Sus scrofa: one gene and its partner. The protein of the gene in region 1 purifies or fractionates together with the protein of each later gene. This does not show direct contact. Links are inferred from orthologs where the notes say so. Each region holds a gene or a part of one and is shown on either strand. Other genes may lie near its edges.

Region 1 (3,747 bases):
TTTGTTGGTCTCCTTCCTGTTCCAAGAAATGAGTAAATCTCTTTTTCACTTTAAGGTCTTTGTAGCTGCTGTTTCTTCTGTTTGAAAGGTTTTTTTCTACAGTTTGTTGCTTGGCTGGCCCCTTCTTGCAGATATCTGTCCTAAAGTAGTTCTATCTTTCTCTCATTTTCCTCCACCATGGTTTCTTTTCATTATAATACAGTATTTATTACACTTTGAAATTATTATTTTTTATCTCCTCACCAGATCAAACCCTTAGTAATGCCTCATTCACTGAGTAAATAAATGAATACCCTACTCCTTCTGTATCCTGAAATCCTGTGATTTTGGAGAGACAGCAATGAGTGTTGGCTTGGAGAGAGATCTTATTTTTCTGCTCAGGAATTGAACCTGGGCAGCCTGGATAAAAAACCAGGAATCCTAGCCACTAGACTAGCTAGAGGTGAAAAGTAGAATTGCCCTAACTTTTGCCCCTTGTTGAAAGCAAGAACATTTCAGGGAGGCAAAGACTGTGAAAATAGGTATAAAGTTTATTGTTAGAGTCACAGTACAACATATGGGAAAGCACACAAAGAAGCAGTTTAAGTCAGAAGCAGAGAAGTAATACACACCCCAAAGAGGAGTGCGGGTGCAGGCGTCCCCTGAGTGAGGGGCACACCAGAGAGGTGATTTAAATCACTTATATAGCACAATTCTTCTGGATCTTTCTTTACCTTTGGCTAATTATCTTATTTATTTCTCACACCTGACTGGACACAGGACCCTTCCCAGTATATGTGCGTACCTTTTGGTAAAGATGGATTCCAAAGCAAAGTGTGCTAAGCAGGTATCAGGACTTATTATGGCCTGGTGCCTCCTCCTTTTCTGACCCCCTAGGAATCTTACTGTGCATGTGTAATTGGGGAGGTCTTCTTTACCCCAGGAGTGATTAAAGTGGTCATCTTATCTTTCTACTCCAGTAGAGCTCTGCTCCTGCAATTAACTTTTTCCTTGAAGTGCCAAAAAGAAACAAGGCCCAATTTGCTTGACCTAAGAAGTCCCAGCTGTTCTCAGCCCAGGGGCCCATCTACCTCTTACTTCACCTGGATATTATTGTTCTTTACCAAGAAGCTATCCTTGTTTTACTGAGAAGCCAGTAGAGCTATATATATTAGAGAGATATGTATATTCTCTATTTCACTTCCATCTCAGTTTACTACAGCCTTTTGTGGTTCCAAGAGGGCAGTGACTCAAGCATATCAAGGCTTCTCAGATACACCAGATCAGGGCCTTGCTTTACCCAAGCGGACCAGCAGGGGACAGTGTGGCCGGAGGCCTCCTTTAACTCACTGCGGAGCCCTAGTGAAGGAGGCATAGAAGTTCCGGAAGAGGAGTGCAGAGGCGGGCCAACCGGAAGGGGCGGGGTCGCCCGCAAACCCGCCCTTCCAGGGAGGCTGTTCTCCCTCGCCCCGCCCCTTCCCCCGCCCAGGCGGCCATGGCCATTCCCGACATCCCCTATGAGCGACGGCTTCTCATCATGGCGGACCCTAGAGATAAGGCGCTTCAGGACTACCGCAAGAAGCTGCTGGAGCACAAGGAGATCGATGGCCGTCTCAAGGAGTGTGAGTGCACCTTTCTTTCCATATAATCTCGTGTCTGAACTCGCTTCTGTCTATGACAAAGCAGAGGCCTTTGGCCGAGCTCGGCAGCCGAGCACCGGGAATGAGAAGGCCTCGGTCTGGGGACAAGGCGCTTTGTCATCCCTCCCTGTGCTTGAAAAGCGGAGCCTCTTCGGGCGTAGAAATGGCCCAGACTGGTCCAGGTGACAGAGAGAACACCCCCAGTTCTGAGATGGAAGTGTAGATGACCAGAGGAGGAGTGGGGAAGAAGTGGGTCAGGGATGTTTCCCAGTTTGAGGTAAGGAGTGCAGTGTTGTTGGAGTCCTGGGACCCGGAGCGGGGAAAAGAGTTAAGCAAACCAAAGCAAGAGATGAAACTCGGGAAGTTGGCTCGTTAGCGGAGTGGAAAGCCCAACACAGAGCTTTAGAGAGAAGGGATCCATCGGTCAATAATAGCCCTCCTCTTCTTTCGTCGTGTTTTGAGTAGTACTCTACATGGTACACAAAGTTCCCTTTCTTCCTGAACTGAAAAGATTGTTAGGATTTTTTCTTAGTGTACCGTCAGTGAAAAGCCTGAGTGATTTAATTAAATGGGGGAAGACCATAACCATATAATTTTGTGGAGCGCCGCACCTGTGGACTTCATATGGGTTAGAAAACCAGAGAGTAACAATCCGTGTGGGTAAGTGGAGAAGTGAGGAAGGCTCTAACTCTTTTATCATTCGAATTTGTGATCTCAAATTGAAAGTGTCAGAATGTCAATATCTGTTAAAAGTGTAACCTAAAATGTGCTCAAAGTAAGTATTTACGACCAAGAAAAGAAAAATGTGGTAATTTCTCTGCAACATTTCGTTTTTAAACATGTCATCTGCAAACGGTATTGTGCGTGTGTGTGTGTGTGTGTGTGGTTCGATAGAGTGGATATGAAATATATGTAAAGTGAAATAGACTTGAATTTAAGTAAAGTGAGACCTAGTGACAAACACACTGGCTAGGATTATTTAATTTAAAATATTCAAATTATATTATTTCAGTAAGGGAACAATTAAAAGAACTTACCAAGCAGTATGAAAAGTCTGAAAATGATCTGAAGGCCCTACAAAGTGTCGGACAGGTAGGTAATGGAGCTTGGGATGAGAGGGTGATGGTAATTTGCTTTGCTTTTTTAGTTCTTGGCAAAAAGTAATGCTTTTTTTTTTTTCTTTTTAGATTGTGGGTGAAGTACTTAAGCAATTAACTGAAGAAAAATGTAAGTGTATTAGATTGTTAATTGGTAAAGAAAAAAAGAGTAGACTCTCCTCCCACCACCATCTTTTGAAATGCTTATTATTTTTATAACTGTAATGAGGTAGATAACATTCTTGCATAGACTAAATTTTCTTTCAATTATTGTCCTTTGGCGAACAGAGATAAAACTCAACCTTCCATCAGTGTAGGTATATTCATTTTTTTTACTTTGTAGTTTTCAATTTGTTTTTTAATTTTCTTTCTCTAGTCATTGTTAAAGCTACAAATGGACCAAGATATGTTGTGGGTTGTCGTCGACAGGTAACAATTTATTTGTATAGTGCTTTATAACTGACAAAGCACTTTCCTCTAAGTTATTTAATTCTTAAGGTAAGCAAGTCAGGCATTATGCTCATAACTCCCAAAGGTAACTTGTTTAGACATATGTAATTGTTAGCAAAGCCTGAACTATGGATTTGACTCCTGGTAGTTTCTACTTTCTACTGAATTGCATTGCCTCACTAAGTTCTACACACTAAGAAATCAAAGAATTTTAGAACTGAAAAAATACCTCAGATTGTTTCTCTCTTTCTTTTTTTTTTTTTTTGGTCTTTTTTTAGAGCCACACCCATGGCATATGGAGGTTCCCAGGTTAGGGGTCAAATCAGATCTGTAGCCACTGGCCTACACACAGCCACAGCAACGCCAGATCCCAGCTGTGTCTGCTACCTACACTACAGCTCATGGCAACGCTGGATCCTTAACCCACTGAGCAAGGCCAGGGATCAAACCTGCGTCCTTATGGATACTAGTTGGGTTCGTTACCACTGAGCCACAATGGGAACTCCTCAGATTGTTTTAATGTTGACATGAAAGTATTAGACCTTATAAGTAATATTTTATATTTAAATATAAAAAATGTT
Region 2 (3,747 bases), on another chromosome or scaffold:
GTTGAGGATACATGAGTGACCAAAACAGAGACAGTTCCTGCCTTTATAGAGTTTACAAGCTAGACAAGTAAATAGGTTATTTACTTGTGTACAGTGTGTACAAAAAGCGAAGATGGGGAACAGAGCAGAGGAATACCTAAGCCAGACAAGAGCAGGACTAGACACCTGAAGGCTTCCTGGAGAAAGTGATTTCTAAATTGAGACTTGAAGGATAAATAGGAGTTGGCCAGAGATATAAAGGATATTCCTGGTCAATGGAAGAAAACGATGGGGGTTCTGAGACAGAATTTGACATGAGAGGAACTGAAAGTTCTACATGATGAGAGAAAAGTGAGTACAGGAAAATTAATGAAACTGGTGAGATGAGAAAGTATCTGATCACGGCAAGGCCTTGTGAATCATGTTAGGGTGTTCAGAGAGCAAGTGAGAAGTCACAAGAAGGATTTAAGCACTCTATAGCCCTACACAAAACACATTTGCTTTGGAGGCAGTATAACCTAAGGGAGAGGGGAAAATGGGCTTCGAAAACAGACTTGGACTGGAAACAGCCTTGTCACTGACTCATTGAGTGTCTTTGAGCAAATTACTTCATAATCTCTCTTGAAAAAAAGATATCTACCTCACAGGATCAAGACTAAACGAGATAATGCATGTAAGGAGTCTGGCACATCCAAAGAGTTCAGTAAATGATAGCTCCTATTACTATACATGTTTCCTCTTCCTAAAAACACTGTGAGCTCTTTAAAGGCAAGAGGCAAACCTCTTAGAACAAGTACGGTAGGAAGAACAGTGCCTTGGATCCTAAGCCAAGAAATCCAGGTTTGAATACAGGCACCTCGCCTTGCTATGCACACGCATTAGCATGTAATCTTTTAAAGTGTCCTTCTAAGGTAGTATTTAACTCGCAGAGTTACTGTACGGATTAATATGCTAATAAGTGATATGTGCTTAGACTACAACAGGACTCAAATAAATGCTGCCTTTTCTTTCCCCACCACGACCCGGCTTCAGTCTTTACTGGATTAAAAAGAGAAAGACTTTTGCTTAGGGAAGGCTCGATGGTCGGCAGCTCGTTCGCGGAGGCCAGCGTGGACTAGGAAGGCATGGAAAGAATGGAAAAGCAGAGAAATCCAGGCGGCAAAGTTACTTAAAGTCCTCTCCCCACTACAGAGCGTACGCATGCGCGCGCGCAGCCGCCGGGCACATCCCGATTGCGCCCGCTATGCTTCACCGCGCTAGGACTTGGAACACAGTGCTCACCCAACAGGCCAACTAGAGGACCCAAGCGCGCCCTCCTGCACAACGGCGTCAATTTTGCAGGCAATTGGAACTCTTCCGACCCTCCCGTCAGGAACAAGCCTACTGTGAGATGCACGCGCCTGCAAAGGGGTAGGGAGGGGAAGAGGACCCCCCCCCCGCCACATTTCATTGGTGGCCTCTTGGTGTAGATCCCGCCCTTCGTTCTGCACGCGTCGCCTTCGGGGGCACCCACTTCCGGGGTAGAGCGGAAGAGGCGGGCTGGTGGAGGCGGGGTCAAGATGGCGGCGCCTTTGAGGATTCAGAGCGACTGGGCTCAAGCCCTCAGGTGACTCCAAGTCCAGGACTGGGACGGAGGAGGCGAGGCGGGTAGTGGATGTTACCTCTGCGTTATCGAGAGCCATGCCCGATCCAGGATATCCATAGGAGTTAGTTTATCGGTTGTTGAGGCCTAGAAATATGTTTCAGACCCTCATGGTCAGGTTTTCATTCTCAGAAGAGCCGTGCTGAGGCCAAGGAAACTCATATGCTCCGTGTGATCCCAGAGGCAGAATAGGATCAGTGAGTTAGAAAAAGACAGGAAAACAGGAGGCAGGAAGACTCTTTGCAAGTAGTCATGGTCATTTAGCAAATATTTATTGGTCCTCAGCTATTTGCAAAAGTCCGAGTATACTCACCACCACCACAATAACTTTGAGTGTGTGATGGAATCCTTGCATTCTCCTTGGCCCTTAGTAGTCATGTTTTACAATTCCATTGAGGAAACAGTGTAATGCCTACCTTGTCTAGGTTCTGACCTAGATAAATATTCGGTGGAGTTCAGATGTGTTCTCTAAACTTAAGGGGTGGTTCCTGCTCTCAAGAAGCTAACAGCTTAAAAAAAAGTAGCAGCAGCTAACAGCTTAATTGGAAACGCACAGCAAACCATTTATTCACTTAACATATATTTATTGGTCATATACTGTGTAAGTTATGGTGGGCACCAGAGTGAGTACAGCAGTGTCATGAATGGTGCTTTTTTTTTTTTTTTAAATAGCTGCCCCTGCTGCATATTGAAGTTCCCTGGCCAGGGGTTGAATCCTAGCTGTAGTAGCTGTAAACTGTGCTGCTGCAGCAACACTGGATTTTTTTAACCCACCAGGCCACAGTAGAAACTCAGGCAAATATTATTACTAATAAGTTTTTCAAATTGAAACAGTTGTGAAGATTAATAAAACATAGTCTCCTGTGTTTAAGAAACTTACAGCTTACTAGGTGGGCTGAAATAAAAACATGTTACTGTAACACAGGATGTGTAATAGGAAGAACAATGACATTTATTGAGGACCACCAAGTGCCTTTGAGAGAACACAGTCCAGAATCAGGAAGTAACTTGCCCAAGATTCTGCAGCTAATAAGCATTTCATCAAATATTTAATGAAATATTTGAGCTTCATTGAGTCAACAAATCTATGCATTAAACACTTAATCTGCAGATATTTCTTCAAGTAAACAAAGTTTGTCTATGCCTAGATGAGATGTTAGATTAGATCATGTCTGAGTACTGTGGCCAAACTAGAAATTATGCAGTCTTTCTCACCTGCATCAGTAGCATCCTTTTTGACACTGAATGAGCCTAAGTAGATTTTTATCTCTCTTCATAGGAAGGATGAAGGGGAGGCCTGGCTGAGCTGTCACCCCCCAGGTAATGTCTTTAAATCTGTATGACTTCCCTTTAGAGAAAGGATTTACTACCTCTGAAAGAGAGCTTCCTACTTTCTCCTGGCCCAGACTCCTTGCACAGTGCTGAGTCTTCAAATGTTCTTCATTCTGTGTTGTACTGGTGTCATTCCAACTCCATTCTAGGGGAAGGCCTTCAGATTGGTTTTCAATTTGGAAGGCAAGACTTGTTCATGGAGGCATTGTCGATGCATTTAATGAGACTCTTTTATTGTACTCTAAACATTTATATAGCTTCAGTTATGCCCTTCCCTGCTCATGATTCCTAGATCTATAGCTCTAGTTCTGACCTCTCTTCAAATTCGAGAGATTAAGTAGTTGTCTGCTAAATGTTTCTGCTTAAAGCTCTCATAATCGTCTTTAGGTTATCAAATCCAAATCCTGAAAGCTGAGCACTTCTGTTGTCAAACAGGTTCTCGTTCTTGATTTTCTCAGGTTTTTTGTTTTTGTTTTTTTAATTAGAGTATAGTTGGCTTGCTTACAGCGTTGTGTCAGTAGATTTTCACAGTTCTTAGGTTACCACCATTCTGGGATCAGAGTAAAAAACCTGGTCATTTCACCCTGCCACAGCCAGTGCCCAAGCGATGTTATTGTTCATCTCAGTGACATTTCTGTCTTATTTCCATCCATTGGTTTGCAGTCACTGTGGTAACATTACAATTTTTTTTCCTTCTAATTTGTGAGAAAGTTTCGTTTCACTGATTATTTTTCATTTCAGAGACTCTTGATGTCTTTATATAATCATATAGTCTATTTCAATGAGAAATAGAG

Evidence for each region.
Region 2: the proteins of PSMC6 (region 1) and PAAF1 purify together in Homo sapiens (affinity purification with western blotting; 3 studies listed by BioGRID and IntAct, with this or other methods). This does not show direct contact. The link is inferred for Sus scrofa from reciprocal best matches to the Homo sapiens genes PSMC6 and PAAF1.

Annotation. Positions count from the first base shown.
Region 1 is NC_010443.5:182,327,694-182,331,440, forward strand, and holds the start of PSMC6 (26S protease regulatory subunit 10B), read left to right. Parts: upstream 1-1,376; 5' UTR 1,377-1,474; coding exon 1,475-1,601; intron 1,602-2,631; coding exon 2,632-2,711; intron 2,712-2,806; coding exon 2,807-2,846; intron 2,847-3,092; coding exon 3,093-3,145; intron 3,146-3,747. UniProt on the Homo sapiens protein: Component of the 26S proteasome, a multiprotein complex involved in the ATP-dependent degradation of ubiquitinated proteins.
Region 2 is NC_010451.4:8,279,687-8,283,433, forward strand, and holds the start of PAAF1 (proteasomal ATPase-associated factor 1), read left to right. Parts: upstream 1-1,459; 5' UTR 1,460-1,538; coding exon 1,539-1,585; intron 1,586-2,900; coding exon 2,901-2,941; intron 2,942-3,747. UniProt on the Homo sapiens protein: Inhibits proteasome 26S assembly and proteolytic activity by impairing the association of the 19S regulatory complex with the 20S core.